Caenorhabditis elegans: one gene and its partners. The protein of the gene in region 1 purifies or fractionates together with the protein of each later gene. This does not show direct contact. Each region holds a gene or a part of one and is shown in the gene's direction. Other genes may lie near its edges. The genes, in order: elac-2, ZK470.6 and C11D2.3.

What was found.
Region 2: the proteins of elac-2 (region 1) and ZK470.6 fractionate together in Caenorhabditis elegans (co-fractionation; one large-scale study listed by BioGRID). This does not show direct contact.
Region 3: the proteins of elac-2 (region 1) and C11D2.3 fractionate together in Caenorhabditis elegans (co-fractionation; one large-scale study listed by BioGRID). This does not show direct contact.

What each region holds. Positions count from the first base shown.
Region 1 is NC_003282.8:4,736,425-4,748,940, reverse strand, and holds elac-2 (Zinc phosphodiesterase ELAC protein 2 homolog), read left to right. Parts: upstream 1-4,673; 5' UTR 4,674-4,690; coding exon 4,691-4,734; intron 4,735-5,502; coding exon 5,503-5,634; intron 5,635-5,886; coding exon 5,887-6,757; intron 6,758-6,803; coding exon 6,804-6,943; intron 6,944-7,168; coding exon 7,169-8,156; intron 8,157-8,745; coding exon 8,746-8,969; intron 8,970-9,182; coding exon 9,183-9,285; 3' UTR 9,286-9,451; downstream 9,452-12,516. Other genes in the region: cyc-2.1 (Cytochrome c 2.1), read left to right, coding at 500-679, 731-886; tctn-1 (Tectonic domain-containing protein), read left to right, coding at 1,109-1,289, 1,343-1,446, 1,829-2,357, 2,412-2,659, 2,710-2,841, 2,888-3,106; timm-17B.1 (putative mitochondrial import inner membrane translocase subunit tim-17B.1), read left to right, coding at 3,468-3,493, 3,542-3,653, 3,703-3,888, 3,945-4,055, 4,113-4,223; fbxb-78 (F-box associated domain-containing protein), read right to left, coding at 10,207-11,116, 11,286-11,377. UniProt on the Caenorhabditis elegans protein: Zinc phosphodiesterase, which displays some tRNA 3'-processing endonuclease activity. Probably involved in tRNA maturation, by removing a 3'-trailer from precursor tRNA. Involved in germline proliferation.
Region 2 is NC_003284.9:4,173,576-4,182,724, reverse strand, and holds ZK470.6 (MD-2-related lipid-recognition domain-containing protein), read left to right. Parts: upstream 1-5,417; coding exon 5,418-5,516; intron 5,517-5,564; coding exon 5,565-5,784; intron 5,785-5,831; coding exon 5,832-6,045; intron 6,046-6,096; coding exon 6,097-6,241; intron 6,242-6,361; coding exon 6,362-6,454; 3' UTR 6,455-6,660; downstream 6,661-9,149. Other genes in the region: mrp-6 (Multidrug resistance-associated protein lethal(2)03659), read left to right, coding at 662-1,168, 1,215-1,486, 1,539-1,618, 1,674-1,824, 1,876-1,982, 2,412-2,532, 2,607-2,710, 3,113-3,316 and 3 more.
Region 3 is NC_003282.8:6,147,673-6,158,464, forward strand, and holds C11D2.3 (BLOC-1-related complex subunit 5), read left to right. Parts: upstream 1-4,140; 5' UTR 4,141-4,230; intron 4,231-4,281; 5' UTR 4,282-4,764; coding exon 4,765-4,783; intron 4,784-4,847; coding exon 4,848-4,957; intron 4,958-5,146; coding exon 5,147-5,322; intron 5,323-5,371; exon of another isoform or gene 5,372-5,392; intron 5,393-5,667; exon of another isoform or gene 5,668-5,692; intron 5,693-6,061; coding exon 6,062-6,142; intron 6,143-6,553; coding exon 6,554-6,751; intron 6,752-6,797; coding exon 6,798-6,951; 3' UTR 6,952-7,005; downstream 7,006-10,792. Other genes in the region: C11D2.7 (PUA domain-containing protein), read right to left, coding at 7,050-7,316, 7,384-7,608, 7,655-7,720; C11D2.4 (Queuosine 5'-phosphate N-glycosylase/hydrolase), read right to left, coding at 8,004-8,174, 8,228-8,888, 8,969-9,063, 9,112-9,219; unc-77 (Sodium leak channel NALCN), read right to left, coding at 9,771-9,881, 9,930-10,037, 10,156-10,242, 10,649-10,720.

The sequences.
Region 1 (12,516 bases):
GTTCTTTTGCAATATAGATATCTGCTCTTCTATATTCAGTTCTTACGCTACTAGATCTGTAACTACATTCCTTAAAGTTCAATATCACTATTTCGATAAGGTAAATTAATTCTTAATAATTGAGATAAGTTGATAAAAATCTGGATAACTGTAGATTTTGTAAGTTGTAAGCGTTAGAAATGCGGTAAATCTCGTAGAAACTTTATTTTTTGTATTTTAAGGGCAAAACCTTTCAGATCATAGATAAAAAGTTCAACAGCGTCATTTTAGTATGTCCTCGCTGAATGATATTTCACCCAGACTCCCGAGAGCGACCGCCCGATTGTTCTATGGCCTTTCTGTGTCTCTGCGTCTCCTCGCCGCCCGAGAGATGGCACAACCCCCGTTTCTTTCTCGCTATTGCATCACGGGCGGTTCCCCAAGTGCTGCTGTGGCGGTTTCTTCCTGCTAGACTCTTTTAGTATATATTTCACTAATTTCTGTATTTTAAGGGTTCAACATGTCCGATATCCCAGCTGGAGATTACGAAAAGGGAAAGAAGGTGTACAAGCAGAGATGCTTGCAGTGCCACGTCGTTGACTCGACCGCCACAAAGACCGGACCAACCCTCCACGGAGTTATCGGACGTACATCAGGAACTGTGTCTGGATTCGACTATTCCGCTGCTAACAAGAACAAGGTACAACTAATAAATTATTTCTTAACGTTTATTATAAATTAAAAATTATAGGGAGTCGTCTGGACCCGCGAGACCCTCTTCGAGTACCTCCTCAACCCAAAGAAGTACATCCCAGGAACCAAGATGGTGTTCGCTGGACTCAAGAAGGCTGACGAGCGTGCAGATCTCATCAAGTACATCGAGGTTGAATCCGCCAAGTCCCTCTAAATATTCCCCTAAATGTTCTCGCCTAGCTACGGCAATTTTTCATAGTTAGGCACTTTCGATTGTTTTACTTTTATATATTGCACTAATTTTGTGTCATTCTCATTTTTAGTAGCAAGAATATACGTCAATTTGGAAAATAAATAATTTTCCTAAATTCGTTTTCCTTTTCCCCACAGTCGCATCACAGCAGGTGTACACTCTTCCGCTACCATAGCAACCAAAATGGGCACCAATGCACCAAGAAATCGGAACGAGCTTTTTGTCATGCATCTTCTTGGATTTATTTTTCTTTTAACTTATTGTTCGGCTGATACTCCAGAGGTTTGTTATCCGTCAGTTGTTCGGCACCGGATTGATTCGATATTTCCAACTTCTCGTTTGTTCTGCGTCTCCAAGCAAAATGGTGGGCTTTTTTTAGCTGAACGCGAACAAATTACGGAGCTTTTTTGAATTTAGATGATTTGGAATATGGTGACGTGGAAATTGTGAATGGCGAAGAGCAATGGAACGAATTTTCAAAATCTAGATGGCAGCAAGATGAATCTGATTCACAAGAAAATGTAACACAATTAAAGATCTACGCAGACGGAAAATTTTGCGCCAGAAATACTGTACCTGGTCTCGACACGCTTTTGTTTGTAAAACGCGAAAAGATAAATATGCGCCTTTAAAGGAGTTCTGTAATTTCAAATATTCGTTTCTGCGGAATTTTCATTGATTTTTAATAATTTACCCATACATATTACAAATCATGAGAAAATGTGAAAAATCTATCAAAAATTTCGCAGAGATGAAAGTTTGAAATTACAGTACTCTTTTAAAGGCGCACATCTCCTCGCATCAAAAAATTATGTCGTGTTGAGACCGGGTAAATACAGTAGTTTTCGAGATAAATCTCAAGACTTCGGTTAATAATGAATTGAGATTTCTTTTTTTTTTCAGTTAGAACTCTTACATTTCGGAAGTTCAAGAGCCGTTCGCCTATTCAAATTTCCCGCTGCAATTTCAGCATCCGATTTCTGTACTGGAACTCAAAATGTGATAACGAAAAGGAATATGACAGTAAAGTGCAAGCCTCTCGCCACCACTGATATTTTGTCTCATTGTTCCGAAAATGAGTTTCTCAATGCTCAGGCTCTGTTTGGAAACGGCGATTTTGTAGAACGAACCGAAAATGAGACGATTGCGATTCCAAGGCTCAGCACCGCCCAATTTATAGCTCCAGTTTGGAATAATTCAATGTGTTATGGAGTTTTGAAATCTGCAAATATTATATTCCGAATGAATGGGATAAAAACGAATTCCGTTGAGATTGATGCCCAATATGATAGTCTTCCTGGAAATGTAGATAATAATTGGTTCGAGCAGACATTTTCAGTTTATTGGATTCCGCTTGTGGTTGCCAGTGAGATAGAGACAAATCAGACTGTTGTAGGATATAAAGCTGGGGAGCAAACTTATAGGGTTAAAGGTTATTTCAAATTGTAGATCTTATATTTGTTCTACATTTTCAAAAATATTTCAGGTTCTATTCCCGTTCCATTCGCTGTTCCAACACTAGGCAACTGCTATTCTGGATCTATTGCACCATCTCCTGTGTTCTTCCTTCGATCGATGTCTTCTGTGTGCACGATTTCCACAATAAATTGCGAAGATGCTCGTGCAAAAGCGAGAGCATTCTACGAACAAGTTTATCCATCCGTACTTGTTTCATCGCCTTCAGAAGATGCACATCCAGCTTCCGTTGGGAGAGTTAATGTTACTTGGGAAGAAGTATTTATTATTTAATTAGCTATTTAATTTATATATTTTTTTAATTTCAGCTATCACCTTCCACAATATCCTGCCGTTTACCTGTGTCCTCGTTACTTCAAATCTACTATTCCAAGCAAGGATCTACAAAAAACTATCGAGAGGTTATAATTGCAGGAAACTCACAGCTACTTTTAGATGATGTATGACCTTCTTATTTAATGTATACAAAATTAGTTTTTTATTCAGGTTCCGTATCTTTCTGGCCAAGAAATTCGTATGCCAATCTCAATTTCATTCACAGAAGTCACACCACCTCCGAAGAACATATTTTCAGCTTTACCTTACGTTGATATTCGACTACCTCACGACTTCTTCTATCCATTTATGAGCACTTCAAACTACTCTGCTAGCTTAAACTATTCACAATGTATTTTTATCATTTTTATAATCTATATTCTTAAATAAAAACTGTTTTTAAAGTATTTATCCTTGTTAATTTTTATTAAATCTAGTCACAAACTAAAGAAAATATTTATTTTATTTAACTTTAATGTTTAAGATTTAAACTTTTAAGATAAAAGTTAATGATTCAAAGAAATAAATAAAAATAAAAACGATAGAAAAAACGAAAGTCAAGAAGGACGCAAGCAATTCTTTGCTGACGCATGTCTCGTGAAATTTGCGTGATGGCGCACTTCTCGTGCACTTTTCTCGAGCTTTCAGATTCATTTTTCAACTCAATTCTTTACAAAAAACTGCACTTTTACCGCTTTAAAATCAATAAATTTAATCAATTTCTGTTTTCAGGGAATAAATACACACAAAAATGGAAGAGTACACCAGAGAGCCATGGTAAGATTTCCTAAAATTGGTTTTTTTACTGAAAATAATTTTTTCCAGCCCATATCGTATCGGAGATGATATTGGATCGGCGTTTGCGATGGGTCTCGTTGGAGGATCCATTTTCCAAGCTTTTGGAGGATATAAAAATGCGGCGAAAGGAAAGAAATTGGTGATTAATTTTTTAAAGACAAAAATACTTAATTAATTGATTAATTTAGGTTGGGATGATGCGAGAAGTACGAATGAGAAGCACATTAACAGGAGTTCAGTTTGCCGCTTGGGGAGGAATGTTCAGTACAATCGATTGTTGTCTTGTCGCCATCCGCAAGAAGGAAGACCCCATCAACTCTATTGTTTCTGGAGGATTGACTGGAGCTCTTTTGGCGATCCGTTCAGGACCAAAGGTAGCAGAATAGCTTTAATTTAGTGAATTAATAATAATTTAATAATTTTTGTTTAGGTGATGGCAGGAAGTGCGATTCTTGGCTCTGTAATTCTGGCTATGATCGAAGGAGTCGGATTGGTGACCACCCGCTGGATGGGAGCAATGATGGATCCAACACAGCCGCCGGTATGTTTTGTTTTCTGGCTCAAAACTTATTTATTTATTTATTCACTATTTTTGCAGCCAGAAGCTCTCGACGATCCACGCAGTCTGGGACAAAAGAGTCAAGCAGAACCAGGACTCGACCAAACGAGACCCTTCGGAATTCCAACTGGATTACCAAATCTGTCCTAAATCTTTTTTCACTCATATCCGTTTTTCTTTATGCTTTTGTCTCTTATCTCAATTTTCCCCCCTCCAACTTCGGTGATCGGCCGATTCCTCTACATTTTTTAGGAGCTCCAATTTTATTAGTTACATATTACATTAGTGTTGTTTGTTTTGTTGATGATGTTCATTGCGATCACGAATCTTATTTAGATTCGCGCTTTCCTTCCAAAAATCAAGTTTCAGATCCGTATGGGTGCACGGCATCTCCATCTCTCCCCTGTTTTTTCGAATTTCTTTCCCCTTTAATTTCTTTTTAATAATCTTCACTGTTCCCTATTTCTTTTTCCGATGAAGACGTTGTTTATAATATCATGATGATTCAATCGTGTTTAAAGTAAAATTAAATCTTGAAATTATACATTAACTTCCAGCTCTTTAGCACAATAGAGTGCATGAAATTCAAATAAATTTCAGCTGAAAGCTCGAAGCTGATGCTCGGAGCGATTGCGAGGAAAACTGTAGAGAATCGGATTCTGTAAGGGTTTGTGAGTGGTCCCCCCAATTGAAATAGACGAGAAAATTTGCGATTTTAGGCAAAAATTCTGAAATTTCATTATTTTTTACCCGAAAACCTTGAAATTCGAGATTTCTCGTTTAAAAAACGCGAAATTTTTATACAGAAACTCCAGGTTTTGAGAAAAAACGGGAATTTTTCTACATTTTGCCTGAAAATATCGATATTTGATTTTTAAACAATGAATTTCACGGTGTTTTTTGCTAGAAATGCATTTTAAAAATTTGAAAACATGAAAATGTTGTTTTTTGGCATAAAGTGTATAAAAATATCGGAAATTTTGCGGAAAATTGCATGAAATGTTTTTATGCTAAAAATACGGTATATGGTCTCGACGCGAGAAAGTTTTGCAAACTGCAAAGAGGCGTGCGCCTTTAAAGAGTACTGTAATTTTAAACTTTTGTTTTTGCGGATATTTCATAGTTTTTCATCCCGTTTTCTTGAAATTGTATGTGTTTAAAAAATTATATATGTATCCCACAGTCTCGTCATCGAAAGCGCACAAAAAACAGCCTACTGGCGCGGATATATCCACGGCGAGACTTTGAAGCTACAGTACTCTTTAAAGGCGCACGCTTTTTCAAGTTTTGCAGCAAAAACTGTCGTGTCGAGACCTAGTTTGTTGGAGATTTGCAAAATTCCACACCTGGATAACAACAATTTTAATTTCTGCATGTTTTTCCGCTAGTACTTTCACATTTCGCAATTTTTCACAATCTCACTTTTCAGAGTTTCTCGTCACTTGATTTCTTCAACCAGCTGCTTATTTAAGGATAATAACGAAGAATTATTAGAAAGTATCAAGGAGAGAATTGCCAGAAATCGCCGAATTCTTCAGAAGCATTCGTCTTCACATTTGAAGTGAGTTTTATTGGGATTTTTTGTCTGAAAAGTACAGTACGGGGTCTCGGCACGACAATTTTGTTGAATGGCAAAATGCGTTAAAGAGACATTTTTCAAGATTTCACATATATGTTCGACCTCAAAACTTGAAATTTGACATGCTTCCGTCAATTTTTTCAAAATTTCAGTTGAAAAATACATAAACTGTATGAAAAAATTCGAATTTTTGATTTTTTTGACGCTATTTAATAAACTTTACCAATATTTCAGAGCTCGAGAAGTAAACGCAAGCATCTCAAATCTGCGACAATCAATGGCGGCAGTGCAGAAGAAACAAAAAGCGGCTCACGAACCACCGGCCAACTCAATTGTCAACATTCCCAGTCAAGTATCGATCGAAGTTCTCGGTAATGGAACAGGACTTCTCCGAGCATGCTTCATCCTTCGAACACCACTGAAAACCTACATGTTCAACTGCCCTGAGAATGCATGCAGATTCCTGTGGCAGCTTAGGATCCGAAGTTCAAGCGTCGTTGATCTTTTCATCACATCTGCAAATTGGGATAATATTGCTGGAATTTCATCAATTCTACTTTCTAAGGAATCAAATGCATTGTCTACTCGACTTCATGGTGCAATGAATATCAAACACTTTTTGGAATGTATTCGACCATTTCAAGATTCGGATTACGGTAGCTGCAAGTATCCATCTCAAGTTGAAGAACGTCCATATACAATGGAGAATTATGAGGATGCCGGATTAAAGGTCACATATATTCCTCTGAGTCCACCGTTGAATATCGGAAGTAACAACGAAAAAAGTAAAAATGTGAAAGTCAACAATGTAGACATTGCATTTTTAATCGAAATGAAGGAGGCAGCCAGACGAATCGATACGATGAAGTTGATGGAACTGAAAGTACCGAAAGGTCCACTAATTGGAAAACTGAAATCAGGAGAAGCAGTTACTCTTCCAGATGGAAGGACGATTCAACCTGATCAAGTTTTCTCATCGGATAAAGTTGAAGGAGACAAGCCACTGCTTTTAGTGACAGAATGTACTACAGAGGATCATGTGAAAGCACTGATAGACTCATCATCACTGCAACCATTTTTGAATGGGGAAAAACAGTTGGATTATGTAAGATTGAAAAAAGAATTATTGACATTAAAAAATACATTTTCAGATGGTTCATATCAGTGATGATGCAGTAATCAATACTCCAACCTACAGACATTTGATGGAGAAGCTCAACAATCCCAGTATCACTCATTTGCTGATCAATGGAGGGAATCCTGTGATTCCAGCTGTGGAAAGTGTCTATAAGTAAGGAAAATATGAAATATTGAATAGATCTACGAATTCGAGATCTGCGAAAACAAGATCCAGGGTCTCAAGAGCTGCAGTTGGCACGATTTCAGGACCTCTGTTTTCGCAGATCTTCTATTTGACGAGATCCCGTTTTCGTGTTCCCTCGCGGCATCAGAAAATTCAAAAAATTTCAGTTTTACAAAATCCATAGGTTTTAAGAATCCAAATTGTTATTTACAGACACACTCGCCTTCTTCGATCAATTGCTCCATCTCTCTTCCCAGCTCTTCACCCAATTGATTGGAGTGGAATTATAACTCAAAATGAGGAGCTATCACAACGACAGGATCAATTCATTCGAGTGGCTCCAATGCAACGATATTGGATGCGCCGAGGAGCTTCGTTCAACGAGGAGCCCATCGTCAACAATTTGCTAGCTGCTGAGCCAGAGCTGTCGGATAAAGCGAAGGAATTGATTAAGGAATATCAGAAGTTGGAGAAGGAGAATAAAATGGACTGCGAATTTCCGAAATTAACATTCTTCGGAACTTCGTCCGCGGTTCCATCAAAATATCGAAATGTGACAGGATATCTGGTGGAAGCATCAGAGAACAGTGCGATTTTAATTGATGTTGGAGAAGGAACATATGGACAAATGAGAGCAGTTTTTGGAGAAGATGGTTGTAAGCAGCTTCTGGTAAATCTCAACTGCGTCCTTATCACTCACGCTCATCAGGATCATATGAATGGGCTGTACACAATTATTGCACGGAGAAAAGAAGCTTTCGAGTCCCTCGGAGCCCCTTACCGTCCACTAGTCCTTGTATGCAATCGGAATGTTCTGAAACCAATGAAGACCTACTCAATTTGCTTTGAAAACATTGAGCATCTCCTCGAAATTGTTGATATCTCCAGGTATCCACTAACACCTCCCGGGAGCCCTGGAGGGCCTCCTGGAAAAAGACCGAGACTTCCGAGCCCACATCTCCCGCCGAGCAGAGATGTTCTACAGGATATGTCGAGCAGTTTCGATAAAAAGGCATGGAAGCTGGATGAGCTGAAGGCTGTACAAGTTCATCATACAAGAATGGCAAATGGATTTGTGATGAGAGTTGCTGGAAAACGAATTGTATTCTCTGGAGATACGAAACCATGTGATTTGTTGGTTGAAGAAGGAAAAGATGCTGATGTTCTTGTTCATGAATCCACTTTTGAAGATGGTCATGAGGTAGATATGACACCAAAACCCCCAAAAAAATTGGCTAAAATTTCGTCTTTGGTTTTATTACTAAATTGTACGAGATTTTTAGCCAAAATACGGTAGCTAGGGTCTCAACACGACAATTTTTGGATAAATGCAGAGATTGAAGATAACAGAATTTTCATCGAATTTTCATAGTTTTTCGTTGAGAAATATATAAACTTGTGAGAAAAATCGATGGAAATCTTGCAGAAACAAAAGTTTGAACCTACAGTATTCTTCAAAGGCGAATAACTTTTTGCATTCGGCAAAAATTTTGTCGTGTCGAGACCCTATATTACGTATTTTTAGTGCAATAATGAAAAATCCAACTATTAGAAACCCGCTTTTTCAGTTTTTTTTTTTAATTTGAATTCCATCCAAACTGAGAACTTCAAGACCAATCAGCGACTTGCTCCTCTCATTCCGCCTGATTGGTCGAAATATGGGCGGAGCTATTCGCTGATTTGTCATATTTCTCATTTGGCAGGCATTCAAACAGCGAATTTTTTCTGAGTTTCGGACTATTTTGGTTTTTTAAGGCAAATATTGAAATTTTTCAACCAATTAATTTCAGGCTGATGCAATGAGAAAACGTCATTCAACAATGGGTCAAGCAGTCGATGTTGGAAAACGAATGAATGCCAAGCACATTATTCTGACACATTTCAGTGCGAGATATCCAAAAGTACCAGTTCTTCCTGAATATCTTGATAAGGAAAATATTGGTGTGGCGATGGATATGTTGAGAGTTCGATTCGATCATTTACCACTTGTTTCGAAACTTCTTCCCATTTTTAGGTAGATTTCAGATTCAGTATTCAGGAGAAAATGGGCCATAATGACCGAATATAACTGTGCTCGAATTTTTTTTTGCAAAATTGAAACAATTTTCAAAAAATTCAGAAATATTTTATAATTTTATTAATTTTTAACAGTTATATTCGGTTCTTGTGGTCCATTTTCTGTCATTTAAAGCAAAATGTTGAAATAAATAAATTTATAAATTTACAGAGAAGTATTCGTGGCGGAACTATTCGAATTAACCATCAAAAAAGAACAACGGGTTTTGAAAGACAAGGAATTGTCTGAAAAGCGAGGTCAATTAAAGGCTTGAGTGACTGGCCACATTCAACATTAATTCACTTTTCATCCAGTTATTCACGTTTTTAGTTCATTGTTACTTTTGTTTTCATTTTCTTGTTTTGTTGTCAAGGTTTTTTTCTCGGAAAGTTTTGGAACAAAAAATTTTTGGTTCCAGCAATAAAAATTTATATGGTACTATTAAGCTTCTTTTTTTCAGAAGAACAATATGTGAAGTTACAATTACAAGTGTTCTATTGGGGACGCACAAAACTGATCTCTTTGAAATTGAGGCGCAATCGCGCTCCAAATAAAACGACTACCCCAACCGTTGGGTCTCGTTAGGTATTTAGCGGTAAAACCAAATATACAGGCGGTTTTCGACTTTTTTGAAAATTGTTTTAAATGATTATTTTGTTTAAAAAAAATGCATGTGATATTGAAAAAGGGAATTCTACTGCTTTTTAAATTTTATTATCAATTTTATGTTATCAGTTTTAACGATTGAAACCGTTCAGAAAAATGAAAGCGTTTGAATTCCTAGTTTACCCGCCAATACCTAACAAGTTGAAAGGCGGGACGTTTTCAATTGGCCGTGGATCACGGCGTTCGTGTTTAATAGGGGAATTTTTCGGCGTTTCCGTATTATGTGCGTCAAAACTTTTTTCCGCCCAAGAAGTGTAAATTTTCATAATCTTGATAAATTCAAGTGGATAGAGAATATTCCTTTGAACGTTTGTGGCGCAATAGCAGAAAAAATGAACTGATTCAAAAAGTGAACCCGGAATTTTAGTCAGACATTCTTAAAATTGAACACTTTAAAGTAGAAATTTAATATATTTATTCATTGTCAGTTTGAAAATGCATATGCATATATATTAAAGTATTAAATACAATTATTAAAATAATTAATCAAGTATACATATTTAGTATTAATTAAAAACCGAATGATAATTTAACTCCAAAATACCATATCAATCAAACTTCGCTGACTATTGACAGTAATATTTTCCTCTGTTCCATCGACTCGTCTAACATCATAACCACCTTTGACACATATCTGCTGGGATCCGGTAGGATGAATTGTCAATTCTCTTTCCGCTGGTGCAACTTGATAATCCACATTTTTGAAGAGTATTTCAACAACTGCTTCATTTTTCAATTGGAGTTCTTTGTAGCCAAAGCAAGCTAGTTCTAACTTTCTGTCGAGTCCGTGAATCCAGTGTTTTAAGAACATATTAACATCTTCAATTTTCATGTCAACCATGAGTGAATAAGTATTAGTAACGAATAAATCGTTCAGATCATATTTGATAGGGTGATATAGAACAATATGGTCCATGTTACGTGTTAAAACCACTTGCAATTGTTTAGATGTTTCTGCTGTGAATGGGTTGCGACTCATTAAAATTGATAACTGATTAGCTTTACGAGAAAACTTTTTCAATGCATACTGAAGTGACAATCTATTCAGATCGATATGATACATGGAGAAAGATTCTATTTCCAGTTTATCAAAACTATCATAGATTGTAGTTTCAAAATGATCGGTTGTAATCTCTAGTTCACTAATGTTTGTTACATGAAATATATCAAGAACGTGATCCAAAAACTGTCTCACTCGAAATATAGGTGTCTTCCATTCACCCAATCGAGTACAGAGATACATATTAATGCACTCTTCTTCAAGACGATGCTCTGAGGTTCGGTATTCGTTAGTGTAGAATTTAAAATACGTGAAAGTATGTTGAAGGGAAATATGAATTATTATGCCAGAACGTATTTCAAGATGGACATCCTCGGCTTTCAGACCTAGGCGTTTTGTTTGTAGCTTTGCATTTTTAGATGTGAGTGAGAATCCTATTCTGTAAAAAAACATTGTTCAGGTTGAGTGATAGGAAATCAATAATTATCTAATAAAATTCCACTAGTGGTATTTTTTGTGATATTTTGTGTGATTGATTGAGATGTGATTGAGTGATATTTGATCAAAAATAATTTGAGTTAACATTGGAAAAAATATGTTTTACTTACAAATCTGCTACAAGCATTCTGTGAAACACGTAGTTACTCGATTTTTGAGGTAATTTGAGCAGTTGGAAAGGAACAGATACGTCGTCGACCATGGCCACAAATGAAGAATGAGCAGATGGAGAGATTGGGTGGTCCTGTCCAGTTGACCCCCCTTCCCCAATTCTCTAATTCTCATCTTAGAGATATTATACATATTTTTCTTTGTCTAAAGCGTGCAGAGACACGCACATGTTAGAACAGTTTAACAGTCTTTCTCCATGTATGCACTAGATCTGATTAGATTCCTACTTCAGAATGCATTAAAAAAGTTTTCTCGTACAACTCAGTTATCAATAATTATGAGTAGCAACTCATTCTCAAGAGAATTATCAAAACAAATGCAAGTGATTGAATCATGTAAAATGCCGAAAAAACTTAATTAAACTTCTCTAAAAATTCAACAATTATTACGTCTGTTCAAAGTTTTGAGAAATATTTTGAAAAATTTCGAACTTTTGTTTCATGGAACATATCAAAAACTGTTAGTAGTTGAAGTTCAATTTCGACAACTTTTCTATTAGGTACAATTTGATCGTTAGTCTGACAATATTGATTTAGTTATGAAAAATTGTCTGAAAATTCATACAAATATTTTATCAACGTCAAAACACAATTTTTAATGTTTTAAATGATTTTTTGTTGAAATTTCAATTGAAAATATGCATGTATAATTGAAAAAGGGATATCTGCTGCTATTCAAATGAGGACTAGTCAATATTAGCCCAACATTTTCTTGTCTCTAGGTCTCATGGCTCATAATCCTCTCTATTAGCTAACACATCTGTCATGTTTTGTATGCTGGAATCCCTCAAAAAACCAATTACCCCATACCATGTAATCAATTGATGTCAATAAAAATACAACAACATACTGCTTGAGAATCTTGAGAATACTTGAGAATCGATTTTCTGAGAAAGGAAAATACCAAAGTCACTGTGATGGTTTCAATCGGGGTTGGGAGGGAAACTGTTTGATATAAAAAACTACAGAGTCTCTAATTTTTTTTACAAAAATTCAGGGAACACCCGCTTCCAAATGTTGTACACATCTTAGAAAATATTTGTACCGACTCGAAACTCTATAGCAGATTGAAATATTGGTGTTCTCCTTCTCAATGCTATCACAGAAATGTATTGATTAAAATCGAGAAAAGGGGTCGAACTAAAATTGTATTTAACCATGTTCCTCTGGG
Region 2 (9,149 bases), on another chromosome or scaffold:
CTATAATTTGCAATTTACCAAAAATCTAACTGAAAATTTTAAAAAATCGAAAACTTATTGGATAGTATTGTCTAATTACAATATTCGCTCATGCTGGACTTTCTTGAATTTATTTTGAATATATTTAGACGAAATCCTTACTACATATACTTTACACAAAAATCTACAATTCTACAAACTGCCCAATTGTTCAGATTTCCCATAAATTTTTTTAAAACAAAATGTTAAAAACTATTTGGTTTAAAAAACACATTTACTAAATATGATGCGTTTCAAAAACAATGTTTTCTTATGTTTTGAAATTTTCATCCAAATTTTTTTACATGGCTTGAATTTTTTAAAACAAACTGTTGCGTGCTTAAATTTTTAAGCAGAACCTAATCCAACAATATAGGAAGCCATGTCTTTCTTATAATTTTATTTTCTCATTCAAATCACTCTGAGTTTTTTTAATTATATACTTTAAGTACGGATAATGTAGCAGAATGCACCAAACATTTGAAATGCTTTTGAAAATAAAGCCACTTTTGGTATTCCCCTAGTAGTCACTCATCTGAAAATTTAAGAAAGTCCCGGAATTTTCCTGTTAGTCTTTCATCTTAACTTCACTAGTAGTCCCTCAAGTAAACTTTTATTTTTTAATGGCACAATAATTTTTTAGCCTTATTCGTGGATTCTTATCGGATAAGCTAGTTATCCTCGTCACCCATCAAATTCACTTCCTGAGCGAATTGGACTCTGTAATTCTTATGAAAAACAACAAAATGGTCGGAAATGGATCTCTGGACGAACTGAAATCCACTTTCACTGACGACTTCATAAAGCTTCAAGCTGTCGAGACTGAAGTTCAAAGCGATGAACTTTTTGTGGACGGGCCTCCCTCGTCTCCGCCACCATCTCCAGTAAATATCGAGTCTATGGAGAAAATAAACAAGGAGAGCATATTCCAAAGAGCCAATAGTGTATTATCAGGAAGCAAAATGTCTGAAACAGAATACGTGAAGGAAATAGTTTACGAGTCGAGGAAATCGGGAACAATCTCTTGGTCCGTCTATTGGGAGTACACAAGAGGTGTCATAAACCCCTTGAAGTACGGAATATGGCTGGTGGTTTGTGTTTTAATAACTCAGCTTATGAATAACTTTGTCGACTGGTGGTTGAACAAATGGTCCGTGAAATACTCTTGTGTGTTGGGATCTAGACTCAATTTTTAGGTTGGTAGATCTGGATATGAACAATGCAGATAACAGTACCAGCAAAGAAGAGTTCAATAGGAATGTTGACGTTCTTGGTTACACGTTCAATGTCACATTCCAAACTTATGAACTCACATTCATTATCAGTACCGTTATCATGTCGATTCTCGGAGTGGTTCGATCGGTTTGGTTCCGCAATGCACAATTGATGGCTTCTCGAATTCTTCATAATTCCATGTTTGACTGTGTTCTCAAAACTGAATCCGAGTTTTTCGACAAAAATTCTGAAGGTAAGGCTAGGGTCTAGGCAGGCTAGGGTCTTTAGAACATTGTTGGTTTTAGGAATGATTCTGAATCGCTTTTCAAAAGACATAGGCCTCACTGATGACTTGCTTGCGTTCACGTACTTTGAATTTGTTTTTGTAAGTTTATCAATAATTTATTGATTATCTTAACAAACTTCAACTTTGTTTACAGGGTACGTTGACATTTGTGGGAATAGTTGGATTAGTCTCCATGGTCAGACCTATTGTCATTCTTGCCTGCGCGTTCATAACTGCAGGGTTCTACTTCTGTAGGAAAATGTACGTTCATCGTTCACGGGAATTGAAGAGAATTGAGGCAGCCGGTAAGCATTACTTCGCGGTTCTTGAAAACAAAACAGTTTTGAATATTTCAGCTCGGTCTCCACTGAACACTACTATTACATCTACTGTCCATGGTTTGTCGACTATTCGAGCATACCGAAAAGAAAACGAGATGATTGAAAAGTTTTGCGCTCTTCATGTAAGTTTCGAATACATTTTATTTTACAAAGTACAATTTTAATATATTGCCAAACTTTTGAGAATGTTAAAAATTTACTAATCTATGTTAAGTCGAGCCCGATTGAGCTCAGAGCAAGTCAAAGGTTTTTTCGCCGCACATCCCTGATCGGAATACTAAATTTAGCTGATTTTAACGTTGCTCAAGGCCATTAGTGACTACAAGAACGACATCCTATCCTAAAACACTACTCGGAAAAACCCTAAGAATTTTTCTTAGAAAGAAGAACCCCTAAAATCTCCTAGAAGAGTGGAAACGACAACCTAGAAAAGATCCTCTAAGACCCACCCTATAGGAAATACCCCCTAAAAACACCTAGGTAAGACCCCCCTCCCTAACGCCAGAGCCCATTTCTCGAACGAACTATTTTAAAATTTGACCTTTTCACAGGATGTTTATATGGCCGCGTACAACATGGGACTTTTGTCCGCCCGTTGGTTCGGAATTTGCATCGACTTTTTGGTGTCTGTTTTCGTTTCCATTGTGGCGATTGTTGTTGTTCTTCAATATGGTAAGTCAACACAGTAACGTTTATCCACCGCGTCCATCGTATCTTATTTCAAAACAACACTCCGAGATTTTTAGAAACCCTGACCGTCGGAGAAGTCGGATTGTGCCTTGTGTGCGCGGTTCAGTTGAGTGGATTCTTCTCGTGGATCATGCGGCAAAGCGCCGAGCTGGAGAACGGGGTGAGTTTATTTTTTGCTTGTTTCTTTTTTTATCGCGGGAGATTCCTCCAATTTGCTCCCCCTTCTCCTCCTCCTGCTCCGCCATCAAAGGTCGAATTGAGCTCACTATGCGGTTGGCGAAACATCATGATTATAAAGAGTTTTGGACAATGCTCAAGCGCGAACTGCCCTGATCAGACGATTGAAGTGGTTTGTCGCATTTTCCACACACACACACACACACACATCACAACAAACACAAATGGAATGTTTGTCATGGTGGCGCCAAATGAGCGACCCACCCGAAACTCTCAATTCGGTCTTTTATTCTAAATGAATACAATGTGAACACAGCAAATGTTGCAAATGAAGACAATACAAACATAGTAGTATGCGGATTGAATTCAAACTGTCGATTTGCAGATGGTTTCCGTGGAACGAGTGCTAGAGTACACCAAATTGAAATCTGAAGAAGAAGCCAGAAGACCACATGATGCATACCTCGATAAACAGCTACTGAACTCTTGGCCAACGAAAGGAGAAATCGAGTTTGAAAATGTATCTGTCAATTATGGGGAGACCAAAGTACTCAAAAATCTTAGCTTTGTTGTTTTAGGTGGACAAAAGGTGAGTTACTAACTTTTTGTTCAGAGTATTACTTCTGAAACTTAGATTGGAGTCGTCGGCCGAACTGGTGCTGGTAAATCAACACTCATTAAAATTATTTTTGGACTGAAAGAGTACTGCTCTGGACGTGTCACTATCGACGGTGTGGATCTGGATCACATTAGTCTTAACTTCAGAAGAGGAGGAATGTCTATCATTCCGCAGGAGCCCGTAATCTTTTCAGGAACGGTCCGGGAGAATTTGGACCCGTTCGATGAGTATGATGATGCTACTATTTGGTTTGCGTTAGAGCAGGTATGGCTTTAATTTATTGAAGAATAACATGTGAGAATGAAATTTTTATAAGCCATTTTTATGGCCCCTATAATCTTGTTTTAACACCATTGGCTTTACAAATTTTATTGAAAAAGTAAAATGTTGACTGGGCAAAGATTGAGCAAGACTTGGACAAGACATAAGCAAGACTTGAGGAAGACTTGGACATGACCCCTCCCAAGTCTGATCCAACTTTTTCTCATATTTTAACCAAGTTCAAACTTCACCTCACCGTAGCCCTAGTTTTGTCCTATGTGTGCCTAAATCTGATCCAACGGTCTAATTTAATACGAGATTCCGAAATTCATATGAAATCGAAATTTTTAATAGATTCTGTAGGATAATCGTTGAAAAAATTTTCAGTGTGAGCTTAAACGTTCCATCACAAAAGAAAAAGGATTGAACGTCGAATTGGGCCAACGGGGAGTCAGCCTGTCTGTCGGTCAGCGTCAACTTTTCTGTCTTGCCCGAGCAATGATCCACCGATCCAAAATTCTTGTTATTGATGAAGCAACCGCAAATGTTGATGGAGTGACAGATGCTTGCATCCAGAAAACAATTCGAGACTTTTTCAAAAACGCCACAATCATCACGGTGGCCCACCGTCTTCACACCATTATGAACAGCGATAATGTAATGGTAAGTGGTTTCTCAACAAGCAAACAATGCCTAGGTTCGCAACTTGCAGGTGTTTGAAAAAGGAGAGCTCGTCGAGTTTGACAAACCGATCACTTTGCTGGATGATCAGAGCTCGCTGTTTTCAAGAATGGCTGCTCAATCAGGGGCTGAAAATTTTGACTCCCTTCGGGCGGCTGCATTGGCCCATGCAATCGATGATCAGTCATCGTATACGGATAATAGTTAAAGTTTCATTAAATTTCCATGTTTTCTAAATATTCAAATCATAACTTGTTTCACTTTCACATCATTTTATAGCAATTCAATTGTTCAATGTCACCTTTTCAAAGGGAATCGAGATTGTTTTTATTTCACTTTTTATTCCATCATTCCATTGAGCACAATAATTCCTTGTTCATACCATGATCTAAGATCATTTCGGTTTTGGCCCAGTGATCGCATCGTCCACATCGTGTAGCTTTATATGTGTCGAATTTAATTTTTCTTTGGTAATATCAGCAATTTTGTTCTGTGGTTTTTTTCTGACTTTCATGATTCTAATCGAAACATGTATTTCATGCAAGCTATTCTTTTCTCCATCCCCCTCATTTTTTTCCAATAAAGAAACTCTGTTATTTTTCTGTTTTTATTTTGTGCTCTGTGTTTGCACTGTCCCATGGAAATAAGCAGACCATTTCTGTGACGAGTGTCTGATAAAAACTTGTCAAGAGTGAGGAAGAGAGCCGTCTAGAAAGCAATGAGCAAATCTTCAAATGCCAAAAATGGCAATCTCGAGTGCTTCACCATTTGCTCTAATTAGAAATTGATCGAGCGACAAATGCGGGCTCTCGAGTGATTTGGCGGAGCTTTGGAACCAGGTGCGAATCGCGTTTTTGTCGGACTTTCAAGAACGCCCCACATGTTGGGCGCTCTACAAAAAAAGACGGTCAGGTATATAAAGCACAGAAAACAGCAGAACAGAGCGCACCCGTCGACCTCCCGCTAGCACCTGAGGCAATTCAAAAACCAACCCGCACCTTTTCGTGCGTCGAGTGCTCTATTCAATTTGCACTCATCTGTGTTTTATTCTAAACATTCGATACACCCAGGTTGCGGCCAGTTCCAAAAAAGTTTCCAAGTGAAGATTTCAACAAAAATTCTGTTAACGATGAATTTCCGTTTTATTCTACTATTCTTAATATTCCCTTTTGTTTTTGCAAGTTTAGAAGAATTTGAGCAAGATAGCGCTGAAATTAAAAAAGAAGTGGTATTTTTTTGTTTACTTGTGTTTGTTTTGATTTAGTTTATTTTTTAGCCTGCTCGTTTTCGATCTTTCAAAAACTTTGGTAGCCATCAAGATGCCAGTAATCAAGCTGCAGAAGTAGCTGGCTCGAACGAAGATAACACTGATGACCCTGAAGTTGCACCGGATGCTCCATACCTTATGGCAGATTCTTCTCTAGAACAAGAAGAAGAATGCGTTGCTCTTCCGAATCGAACACGAGTTCGTCCGTCGTTTTTCCAGTGTAAAGAAGGTACAGTACTTCTAGTAAAACAGAGCCCTAAATACCAAAAATTGTAGACACAAAGTTTGAACTTCACGGCGGTGCAATTACAAACGGCAACGGTGATGATACCTACCCGGTTTCCTTCAACTCGCCTATTCGAATTTTCCTCGACATCACCAGTAATTCTAACAAACGATATGACAATTTGGGCGTCGAAGTGTCAATCTTTAAACGTTCAACCGGATGGTTCGGATGTGGGTGGATGTTTTTACCAAGCTTTGGGCTGTTGTAAGTTGTTTTCTTTGCAGAACACCGAAAAACATTGAATGTTTTTTTAAGGAGCAACTATGATATGTGTGACGACAACCCGTCATGTCCGGTGACTCCGGGACGTCAGGTTATCGAATTCGAGATTGATCCAACAAAGTTGTTTACGAATCTGTTCCGAATGATTCACTATGACTTGGTGGGTACTGACCATAAGGTAAACGCGATGGCTATTGTACTGGAGAGCCGTTGACGGACGCTTAGCAAATACGTTTTTTTTTCTTAAATTGAAATATTAAAAAGAAATCCACTTCTTCAGTATACTTCAATTTTTCAGTCCGCCTACCAAATGATGGTTCGAGTCCGAGACAATCGAGATCCCTACCGAGAGTTGCTTTGTGCTACGATCCAAACTAGAATCACACTCTGAGACCAAGACACTTTTTATTTATTTATTACCAAGATCCTTATCAGCAGTATTTATGAACGATAACCGGGACGCAACCCAATTAATTTAATTCCCCTTCCCTACCTTCTCCCCCAGTGAACACCAGAACCAAGTGGTTTCTATTCATCCAGTTGTTTATGATTATGACTCTCTGTTACAGGTTATCAAAAAATGAATAATATAGTATATTCTGTTTTGATATGTGGGAATGGTCTGGAACAACTAAGGTGCATGTGTGAATAACAAGAATTGAAAATCACATGGGATCCGGCTTTCGTTAGATCTCTGTTTTGACACATGTTTATCTCGAGTAATAACGCTGAAAATTCCATAATTCCATAATCATTCTGCTGAGAGAGTAAATTAATTTCTTGCTACTCAGCGGAGAAAACTTCCAGAGGAATTAATTAGTCAAAAAGAAAAACAACAAACAAATAATATTTGTTGAGTAATGTACACTACTTGCAAAACTTTTGTCGACCAATGAGCATCAAATGCAATATGTTAAGCGATTAACATTAACGAAACTTTAAAAAATATGTATATAAACCTGATCGTTGAGAAAAAAGTAAATAACACCGGGGAAAGTGCGCGGGAATGGTGATAATGAAGTGGAAGCGTTGTTCGGGATAAGACCAGTAGCTGGAATGCAGTCTAGTATAAGAAACCTTTTGCTAACCTTTTACACAATAAATAATTAGTGCACTGGCATTTTGGAAAGATGGGAACGCTGAGGACAACAATAGATACGGTAATAACTTATGTGAGAGAAGTAAATAATTTTAGGTTACAAAGATTGCGGAATGTTCTGAGAAACTCTGATAATGCAGATAATAAAAAGCTTCGGTACAATATAAAAACACAATAAAATAAGTCAAAATAAAAGATTGAATATGAAAATCTGGTTTCAAAGTACTTTGACTATGATCAATATTTGTTTAATTTTTATTGATTAATATTAGATCTTCTCGGCATTTGGCTTCAACTTCTCGCTCAAGTTTGACCCTAAAAATATTAACTTGGACAAAAGTTGGGCGGGACTTTGGCAGAACTTGGATTCAGGCTGGGCTAAAGCTTATCCGAAGTTTGACCCAACTCTAGCCAAACTTTGGCCCAAAATTTTCTTGTTTCGTTTTAAACTTGGGTAGATGTTTGGCAAGAGTTGAGTCAAACATGGGTTTGGTGCTGCCAAAATCCAAGTTGCAGTTGCATATTGGTGTAACCTCCAAGTTTTGCCAAGGTCATGCACAACTTTTGCCTATTTTTAGTTTTTGTTTTCTGAGTAAGCTCAAAGGCAAAGTAACCCTACTGGGGAAATAAGTAAAAACCATACATTTTGTTTAAAAATTTCCAAATATCATAGTTAAACTCTTCACAATTTTTTTGAAATCTTTTTATTTCTATTAACTGTCATAGAATGTTAACACAGATTTTTGAAAGTCGTCAATCAGAAAAATGATCCTTCGACTTTAATGGACTTATTTTTCATATATTAATACTCTAACACTTTAGGAATTCCAACCTGCGACAGTTTTCTCAAAAAGTGACACAAACTCAGTAATTGACACTATTTGAATGTCAATAAAACGTTTTTCATCACTTCTTGAAATGTTTTTTGGCCATTTTTGGCATTATAGGAGGTTTTAATAATTTTCCTCGCTGGCGCAACTACAGCTTCAATGAAAACTTTCATACTTTGGAGTAAAGTGTTACGCTTTGTAAAAAAAATAGCATATGTACAGTTTTTTCTACTTAAATGAAATGTAAGACGTATTTTTAATGCTTTATATTTGAAACAGACCTTTTCTAACTGAGTGAAACTGTCAAACTTAAAAAAAGCTTGACTCGAGCAAAAATTTGAGGAGCTCAAATCTAAGCTTTTTCAATGATTGTTCAAAGTTTGACCAGTCTTACCCAAGTATAAAACGACACAGAATTGTTTTTCAAACTTGGGCAGGATTCTATAAAACTTTGTCAAAGTTTTCCAACATTTGCTAAATTTTAAACCAATTTTAAAACCGTACCTAGAACTTGCACAAACAGCTGCTGGCCGGAATATTCAGTAAGAATGGGACATTTCAATTCTAGAACATCTGAACATATGTCACGTTTCAATTTGTTTAAAACAATCAAAATGCACGAGAACCTAAAATGTAACGTTCACAAACACTTGAGAAACAAGTTGTGAGTTCACAAGTTTTAACAGTCCTCAAACCCTGCGATGAATAATTTGTGGCATTTTTTTAAGAGAAAATTTCAAAATAATTCAAGATTTGTGATTTAGTGTTTTGTTCGTTGATTACGATCTTTGGAAAGTTGAACGATGAAGTCCTAAAACATAAAACCGTCTTATCTGTTGTTTTTAAATTTTTTCAAATTTTTATCTTCTCACTTCAGTTTAATCTTAATGATTGTAGTTTACTCAAGGAAGTGGATTAATAAAAAATTCAACTGTTCATGTCAAGTATGTCACTTGGTTTTGTTATTGGCATCTTCTCCGAGTTCAAATGTTCACGTCCATGTTCTTGATCTGTTAATGACCAATTGAATTGTTTTCATATATTTTCGATTTTTCAGAAATACAACAAAAAATCGTTGAATTTCTCATTCATTTATTTGGTAAAACATGACCGGACAAAAAACATTTGGAACAAAAAATAGTGAAATAATCTGTACA
Region 3 (10,792 bases), 1.4 Mb from region 1:
CGGAAACTTCAGACAAATCAGAGGACGATATCAAAATGGACGGAACGAGGTGGTCGCTTAAATCTTTCACAATAACTGAATGAAGTGGTTTACCAATATCAGGAATGTCTGAACCATTATCATTCTCAGCTCCATCGAAAGCATGCTCAATTGGATCAGCAACTGGAATTTCTTCCAGATCCTCTAATTTATTTTTCAAAGTGTTTTCTTCACTACCGCCTCCTGGAGTGTTGGTCTCACCTGAAACACATGTTATTTTTAAATATAATCCGTACACGACAAATTTGCTCAATTCATGGAATGAAGAAACACATCCTGAGATTTTCTACATTGTATCTCAACTTTTGGAGCACTTACTGTCACAGCAGATTAAGGAAAATCATAGACAGAATATTTAAATTGCATTACTTTTTAATGTTGAAGTAAACTCCTTTTTAATAACTTACTGATTCAGCAGATTACCGCAAATGAAGAGTAAACTATGACTAGAAGGTATTTGCTACTGAAGAGCTAGTGGTGAAACAGTGTTTTTTTATAGTCTGGAAAATTTTGTTGAAGCCTTCAAAACTCAAGCTGAAATTAATTTCCTAATTTGTCCTCTGACATTTTTCAGTGATTAAGATCCATGTTATGCAAGTTCTTAAATTAAATTTTAAATGTTTAGTATTTTCATTGACGTACTCTGGGGAAGCCAAGTCAAATTAAAATGATGTGTTTTTAGCTTTACAAATAAATATTCTGATCAGAAACATATAATCCAAAACATTGAGTGTAAATTTCAGATAAACCAGAGGAAGATGCCAAAATAGACCAACTAGGTGGTCGCTTAGACCTCTCACAATAACTGAAACTGACAGAGAAACTTACCCATGTCGGGGATGTCTGAGCCATTATCATTCTCAGCTTCATCGGAAGCATGCTCAATTAGATCAGCAACTTTCTCAGCAACTGGGATTTCTTCCAGATCCTCCATTTTATTTTGTGAAGTGTTTTCTTCATTTTCGGATCCTGAAGTGTTGGTCTCACCTGGAACACATGTAATTTTCGAAAATAATCCGCACAAATTGGAGCAACTGATAGAATAAAGAAACGAATCCGCATTAGATATTCTACATTGTATCTTAATTTTTTTTTTGGGTTTTGAAACAGTTACAGATTCCGCAGATAGAGACAATGTTGTAAATTTACATGTAAAACGAATATGGTCAGAAATTTATTGCTATTGAAGAGCTAGTGGTGAAACAGTATTTTTTAATAGTCTGGAAAACTTTCTTTAGCCTTTGTTGGAGTCTTTGAGACTCAAGCTGAAATTCCTAAATTGTCCCTGTAAACTTTTTCGGTGATTACATGCATGTTATGCAAACTTCTTAACTAAATTATAAATGTTTCGAGATTTACATTGACGTAGGAGGGGAGGGAGCATAGTCAGATTAAAATAATGTATTTTTGGCTCTACAAATAAATAATCCGACCGGAAACATATACGCCAAAAACATTGAGCGGAAATTTCAGACAAACCAAAAGAAGATGCTTAAATGGACGGAACTAGGTGATCGCTTAGATCTTTCAAAATACCATGAAAAAATTCACAAGAACTCACCAACATCCAAGATTTCTGAGTCATTCTGAATCTCAGCTTCATTGGAAGCATGCTCATTTGGATCAGCTACTACTTCAGCACCTGGGATTTCTTCCAGATCCCCCGTCTCATTTTCCGTTTCTGAAATCTTCCCGTCACTTCCCCCTTCTGACGTGTTGGCTACACCTGAAACATAAATTATTTTCGAAAATAATCCGTACACGACAAATTGTCTTAATTCGTGGAATAAAGGAACAAATCCGGATTAGATTTTCTACTTTGTATCGTTATTTCGGTATTTAAAACTCTTACTGACTCAGAAGATTAAGGATTTATGATTATTACGTGAAAATCAGAAATTATATTTTTGAAACACGAAGAAAATCTAATAAGGAGAGAGCTCGGAGCTTAACTATGAAGAGATGAAATAGTGAAGCAATTGCTGAAAAAACTTCTGGGAATTTGGATAGGTTGTAACAAAAATAAATTATCTACGGTTTCTGAGAAAGCATGAATTGAGAGATTAGTCGAATTCAGTAACAGTTACTGTGGGAAGATATATTTAAAAAATCGATTTAATTATTTTGAATATAAACTACGTACCTTCACAGACTTCATTCTCCATTTTTTGTCCGTCTTGTGCCGGTTGTCGTTCACATTCTTCGGTTCCATTCATAATTACTATCAAGCTGTCCAGTAGTAGCTGGAACATTATATTTAATAAAAAATAGCGGGAAAAAAAACGGAATGAAAAGTCAATTTTTATCTACAAATGATTCATAATCTACAGTTTCCTTTCTTCTCTCTCGCTGCACCTGGCACGCCTCATAAAAAGAGAAACAAACGACCTTTCGCTGTTCAAATTTTGAAAAGTCATAAAAGTTCTCGCTTTTTGTCGGAGCTATGCCTATAATAATTTGGAAATGTAATGTAAGTTAAGGTATGTTGAGTAAGTTGGTGCACAATGTTTAAATAAATAAGTGGTTTTTAGTATTTTCGAAAAAATATCCCCATAAAAAAATGCTCCAAATGCCTTCTCTCTCACCTCTTTTTCAAGAAAATTAACTCAAAAATCATAAATCACATTCAAAAATATTTGAAAAACACACAACGAAATTAGAAAAAAAGAGAGGCGACTGTGGAGAAGGAGGACGGCAATAAGAGAAAAGATAAGAGGGCACAGCCACAAAAGAAAATGGAAACATCAACTGAGTATAGTGGGCAAAAGCGAATGGGCGGAGAAAATAAAATTCATGAATAATTATGGACAATTGAAAGAAAGCGTGTAAATGGTAATATGGGACTCTTGAAACCGACAAAAATTACAGGGATTTAAATTATAATTTAAAAAAAAATAATAATTAAAGGATAATTAAATTTGATTTACAAAGTTCAAAGAAAATAGTTCTATTTTCAGACTGTGCATATTCTATACACTATATGCAAATCAATGCTGTCAGTAACGTAGACATATGTCTTGGGTTACTGTATCACAAAGATCAAATCACTTAAATTTGCGGCAATCATTTTTCAACAAGAATCCCAAAAAAAGAACTCGGCAAATCGGTCCAATTTGTTAGCGTACTCTTGCAACTACTGTTGAGCACTTTAAATTTTCAACAAATTTCTAAAGATTTTCAGACCATTTTTTAAATTTCTATTGAATTAATTTTCTAAATTGCAAAAATTTGCTATGAACTTGCGACGTTTTGTCAAGAAGATGCCTCTGACGTCAAATTTTTCCAGATCTCAATTCAAAATTCAACTCTATATTTAACTCTCAACTGAGTTTGGAATATGTTTTATGATGTATGAAAAACATTAATTTTTTTTGCAAAGTATATAGGAGTTTCAAGCATTTAAATTGGTCAATTGGACAGAAAACAAATTCAAAATACATTTTTTATCAAGAAGTTGAATATGTGGGTAGATCACTCGTAAAATTATAGCCTTGCGGAAAATGTGAAACGAAACAAAACTTTAAAATTTAAAGTAAGAAAATGGCAAAATCGGAAAAAAAATGAGGGAGCTGAACGATTTGAGTAATCACACGTTTCTTTTCAGGGGTTTATAAAATATCGAAAATCGTTTCATATTCACGGTATAGGTGCGGTGAAATCGAATTGTTTCCAATTGTACGACCTGTCTTACAATGATTAGAAAAAAAATAAGTTTTTATTTGTATGGTCCATATAACTTTCCTTTCAAAGGTTTTCAATGTTCAAAGTAGACATAGACCCAAAAAAAGATTATTTCTCTTTAACATAAAACCTGTCTGAATAAAAATCTTGGATGCCGTTAATTTTCAAGGACTAGATAATAGCCTGTAAGCCTATAGGTAAACCATTTTTCTGTAAAACTGTTTAATTCCAACATTCGTGTCTGCGCATCAATGTAGAACACTTATTTGACTTGCAAATAGACAAAACAAAGATAAATGTGACAGTCGCGTATTTCTTTTGATAGGGACAAAAGCTGTGTGAATAATATCACGAGAGAAAACTCATGACAGTGAATAAAAGTGCATGGTTAATGTCCAGAAAGCAAATATTGAATGGTAATTTGACATTCAATTGTTGAATGTAAAAAGACTTATTCATATCTCAGTTTTTATGCGACTATTGTAGTGATTCAAGTACTTCATATTTATAGTAATAATAACTCCAAATGATACCAAATTTAATCTATTCGAATATTTTCAGTTTTATTGTTGTTCACTAGACATCCCCTTTGATGAGAACGGGACGTTTTCCTGGCCCTAATATTCGTCTTCCTAATGCCTACACCGGCAACTTTTTGTAAATTGTTGTTTTTGTAAATTGTTGTTCGGTGTTTTGCAGAGGAAGAAGCTGGGAGGAGACTGTGTCTCTCATTTTGGTGGGTATCTGAAGCTGTCTAAATACGTGAATTTTAAAGTGGCGTGCAGAGGCGTGACGTCATATATGAACGTGCAATTTCAAAAAATCCGTATTCATAATCACTTTTGGCCCTGACTTTTTAATTTTTTTTTCCACTCAAGCCTTTATTTTCTGCCAATTATGCTTCCAGTTCACTGGACAATTTTGCAACTCAACCAGAGCCATGCCATGACACTAAATAAAATTTGAAACTGGTTCAGTAACCTTTCACTGCTGCTCAAAATGTTGCTCAAAATTTGAGTTTATTTTTGCTTTTCAAAAGTTTCAATGTTCCCATCGATTGCAGGTAAGAAAGTTATATTTCTTACGTTTTCTCTTTAGACCTGTGATAAAATTAAATTTTGTTGAAGGTTCTAACAAACCTGGTGCTTCTTCATCAACACTGAGATGGCAGAAATCAACGAGGAGGATCTCATATGTGAAGTTACCTTCTATTCAGTCAAAAGGGAAACAAGGTCAAGTAAGTTATCTGAATAATAGTAACATTTCAACGTAACAGTACATTTTTTGACTGAAAACTTAATGTTTAATATTTAAAAAATTTATTTCGCTGTGAGACCCGCTTGAATGTTTTGTTTATTGTGAAGAATAACCACAACATGAGTAATTAAAAATATCTATGGAAAACTAGAAACTTTTCATATTACAGAAAGTAACCTCTGTCCCTTCTGAAGATGAACCCATACCATCTGATCCTGGACCATCACTTCCTCCGATTCCAACAATTACACCGTCATTGTGCATTGATAATCAATATTTTTCAAACTATATCAGTGAAAAACCAAAAATGGACGATGTTGACTATTTGAGCAGAGCGTTCAGTTCGTAAGTTTACTATTAAACAACATTTTTTTCGATTTGTATTCTATAGGATCTTCCAAAAAATGGTGGTTGAATGTTTTATCCTGATTATATGAAAAGATATTAAAGTTCTGAAACAGTAAATTTTTTTTTTCATCACGAAGTCCGCGACTATTCTTGGAATTTATCTTTGGAATTTTTAAGGCGGCTAAATTAAAAAAAATATTTTTTTCGGCTTCGAATTCTACACATATTCGTGTTGTGAGATTGAATTGATGAGAATTTTAAGTATAAAAATTCACAAATGTTTCATAAGCTTTTTCACTGTTTCACCGGTTGAGATAAACAAAAGCTTTAAAAAATTTGCAATTAGTCTCTTGTCCCGCAAAAAAGTTATTTAATAGCTTTTGTGAAATCTTCCAAAATTTATAAATTACAAAAATTACTGAACATAATCACTTCCCTGATATTATCGAAAAAATACGATCGCACAAATTTCTCATAATATATTTTTGATCTACCTGTTGATCTTGTTGCCGTTGTTATTTTGTTGTGGCTGTCTTGTCAAAGGAAGAGGAGGAGCCTAGTCAACAAGGTAAATCAAAAATAAATTATGAGAAAATTGTGCGATCGTATTCTTTCGATAATATCTCATAGCGATCATACTGTTGCCGGAGTATGATGAACTGTAGATTACTGTAGTATCGCGACGAGATATCCGGTACCTGGTTTGAGAAAGTTCTTTTCAGAAATTTCAATTTAGATTTGCGAAAATCCAGGGAAATCTACATGCTCAGAGAACAAACTATTTCGAGAAGCGGGGACTTCTTGATGCTATTGAATTGTGAGTTATTATGGGGACGCAGAAGAGATTTCAAAGGAGCAGAATGTTCCCTTTGAAATCGATGTGGAAACGCGCTCCACAGCCAATTAAAACCGCCCCGCCTCCCACAGTTGGGTCTCGTATTAGGTGCCAAGACTGTAAATTTAAACTTTTCAGTTAGTTTTGCCGATTTTGTCAGCTATCAAACATTTTTGTTATTTTTTCTGTTGTTTGTTAAATGATTTTCGTGCCGAATTAATTGTTATAAATGCATGTTTAGGCCAGCAGGAAACACATCAAAATAGACGGAGAATGATTAGAAAATGGTAATAATTATATTTAGAAATCGCTCGAATTTTCAGTTTTCCCGCCAAATACCTAGCGAGATAATATTTGCTCATGTGTACTTTAATGCAAAAATAATTTTTCCAGGAACATTGAGCAGCAGAATAATAAAATCAGTGAGGCTCTTGGATGCTTGGCTGTTTGCAATGAAGTAACCGAGAAGTATCAATGTGCTCTGGACAATTCTTTTCAGGTTTTAGTCGATGATTTCTCGGAGAAAGCCTTTAAGTTGAGCAGCTTGACAACTCAACTTCACGCATTACGACAGACTCATCACGCGAATCAGTAAGTGAAGTTTGTTTTGTTTCGCTCTGATGTTGAGAAATTGCAGGCAAGTTCGCAAAAATGAGGAATCTCAACTGGAAGAAATAGCGTGGCGTATTGAAAGGGAAGAAAAGAGAATCAAGAAACTCGACGGAAAACTTTGGAAATTTTATGAGAATCGAGATGGAAAAGGAAAAGATACAACAAAAGAAAGTGCATGAAAATATAAATTAAATCCCAAAATGGACATATAAAATAAAGATCATCTCAAATTATTGGAAGTCTGATAAAGAGCACGACGACCGGGAATTCGAGCACATCAGTTCAACGATTTTTCAGCCAAGTGCCACAGCCCATCGTTCAAATAATGAAGATTTTCAATTCCGTTTCCTTTATTCACAGATTGAATTTCCTCACTGCTCATTGACATCAAACCAATTGCCAACGCATGTTGCTTTCCTTCAGCCATCACAGCAACCACTGAATCCTTTGGTACGAGAGGAGTGAGTTTAGCTCCTGGCGATGTTAATCCAGGACACATTATTGAAGATCCGTTCAGGATGAATTTGATGGCACCTTTGTCGACCTGAAATTTGAATTTTCATCAATAAATGGAAATGTTGAACCAGGTAAATAATCAATTTATAACCAACCTGTTGATGTGGAAGAATGAATGGATACTTGTGAAGTGTTCTCAAAGTTGGAATGTAATCAGTGTTACGTGTTTTAACAAATCGCACGACACCCAGATGATCGGCGAGCAATTCAATGTGATCCTTGCATTTGATCACTTTGAAATTCTCCTTTTTCGGGAGGATCTCCTCAAGATGTGGCTCCAAGTAGGGGAAGTTCTCGATCAGCTTCTTGCGAATTCCTTTCTAAAAATTTTTATAATTATTAGTTAATTAAAATTAAAGATGATACCTGAACACTGGACTTGAGCTGAGTAGCGCCTGTCACATCTTCCTTCTCGTCGAATTTTTTGAACATGGTTCTTGAAAAAAAATTGTAAGATTTGAACTAAATGAAAACAAGGATAAGTTTAAAAAATTGGTATACAACCAAAACAAAAGAATTCAGCAAAATAAAAACAATGTTAAAATTCATATAACAAATTAAGGCTCAAAGTGAAGTGTCAATGGAATGTGTTAAATAAAGTATTTAAAACCTGTGAAAGAAAAAAAACACGGAATGAAAACAGAAGATGATACGAAAAGCTAAAATCACTAGAATTCACACTAAAAATTAAATACTAATATTTACATATACAGATTTAATAATAAATACAGCGAGTCCTGTGGAACGGGACTTTCTTTTCAACATCCGCAGCATAAAGTCGACGATATCCCCAGACATAGACATCAACTTCCATGGCGTTAACTTCACAAACATCAGAGAATCTTGGATCGGTTTCACGAAGTTCGTTCATCTTGGCGACAATTTCCTGAAAATTTAGCGTTTAATACAACAAAATTTCAGAAATATCTGGAATCTTACATCGCAAACTGCAATAGATGCTCCTCTGAGTTCAACTTCCGCTTTTGATCCATTCTCCAATCGTTTTCCTTCACCCAATTGGCTCAAAAGTTCTTCTGAATAATCCAGAGCACCAAGATAAGCGAGAGCTTGCGGAACACGATAGTCAGCAAACATTGTGATCGTGGTAATATCCTTGAAATTTCCCGCATCATCGTGACCTTGAAGGGATCCATAGACATCCGCAACGAGAATCTGTGCTCTCTTCAGAAGCGAAACTTTTTGTCCGTTGAATTCGGCAAAATCGCGGAAAGAGACAAAGTTTTCGACGATTAATTTCAGCAAAGTTTGAGCGGATTTCTCTGATTTTATAACACAATTATAAAATTGTCCATCGAATTTCTCGAGAAGAACTTTTCCTGAATCATTGATAGCCTTCACTCGATCGTCAAGTAGTGGAATTGAGTGTCCTGAATCGGATTTGAAAATCCTGTCGATTTCTTCTCTGCCAACATTTTTCATCCATTCAGCAGAAAGTACTGGAATTCCGGCGGCTATAGCCTTGTTGACAGCGGCACATGCTGCGAAGTAACCAGTGTAAGCTTTTCCACCCCAGCTAACATCATAGTGATCTCCCTCATCCGGCCAGAATGAGAAATTGATTGTATCCACCAATAATACCCTGAAATTAATTCAATTTAATATGATTTCAAATTTAAAAAGATCAGATTTGAGGAATAGTTACAATTTAAGTTTTCTCACCACTGGACGGCATCTTTATCTCCACTTTTCGGGTGTAATTCCGGCGATAAGAAAAGAGCTTCTTTCAGAGATCCATCTTTTGCAGCTCCGAGAATCTATAAATATTAATCTACATTCATTCAACATTTATTTTTAGGATTTACATGTTCTGCTACTTTTCGAACGCCTGCCTGGTTGATTTTGACGAGATTTCCATGCTCGACGATGAATTTTCCAGATTCCGCAGGACCGAGGACTTCGTCAATAAGCATTTTCTGACCTAAAAAGTGAAAAATATGTGACAATTCTACCGAGTAGTAAAAAATGAAAATAAAAATTTTAAAGAGAAAAACGTGTTTGTTACGACGCTCCGCAGATGTGTCTCTGCGTCTCCTCCTTCTGCACAGTGCCTAGCAAATTGTCGTACGTTAAAGTGTCGTGTACGCAATGCAGACTGAAACACATTTTATTTCTCGACAAAAAATGCTGTATTTTTATATTTAAAAAATTAAAGTCGTCGTTTTACAGCTTTTTCAGATGTTTTAAAAAGTATTTCTTTAACTAAAAATCAATTAAATTACCCACTAATAGTTTCGCTAATAAAAACATTTTTCTTGATTAATCGTACAAAATTAAGGACTACATTGGAAACCTGAAAAGAAAACATCTGAAAAATTTTATATACGAAACCAATAAAAATCTGTTCATTCGGTGAAAGCACAATTAATATTCGTAAAGCGTTTTTGAATACCTCGTAACAATATAACCTGAATACATTAAAAAAGATAGATCAACAAGAGAATGTAAATAATTAAAAAATGAACTAATCAACAAGGGAATTCCACCATTTTTCAATATCTTTTGTCGTTTCACATGGCATAAGTGGTCGAGGGCTTCCATGTGTCGGTGGTACAGGCAAGGATGGAGTTATCACCTACAAGTTTTGAAAACCATTTCAAGAAAATGAAAGTGAAAGAATTACCAATGGTGAATGCTCTCCATTAAAATCATCAGACAAGTTTTTGGGAGAAAATGGAGAATCTTCTCCACGTTCTTCTACGTCAGGTAGATCATAGACGTTTAGCTGGAGCTGAAATTTGGAATATATTATTACGAAAACAACATTTTACATTTTACTTTAAGCTGCAAAACACACAGACTAGATATTAAAAAAATAAAAATAAAAAAAGGCATTGACACGAACTCACATGAAAATTCTTTGGCTGTCCGGAACCCTTTCGGATTTCAGAATTAGCTCGTTTCGGAAGCAACTGGACGGTTTCAGGCGATCGCGACTGCAATGGAAATAAGAAAAAGCGGTAGGCAAAAATGGGTGGAGGCTGGGAGTGTTTTGTGTGAAGCAGTTAAAAAACTAAATTTGAAATAAAAATATTACTCTTTCAATTATTAAACAAGATGGAATTTTGCGGTTAATCTAACGTTGCAACTTTATCAAAAAACTTCTACAACTTTATCAAAAGTAAGATATAACCATATATAGATTTATTAGTAAAAATTTAATTTTTTAAGAATACAATTAATAAAACTGTTAAGTGTCTAGTTAGGGTTAGTTAGTTTGGGGGTTATTCAGATGGGATATAAAAACCAAACAAAACTCTGACTGTACAGAGGACATGAATCACTACAAACTACAAACTACACTCATCATTTAAAAAGTATACTTAGAAATTCAAAAAATACCTTGACTTGTTTTTTCTCACTCGAGCTACCAACCATGAACTTTCGAGCAGCTTCTTGAAAGAGACCAGTTCTCTGAAAATTGGATATGAAATTTAAAAATAGTTAGGCTTATAATCTTTGACTCTCAAATATTAGTTCAAAAAC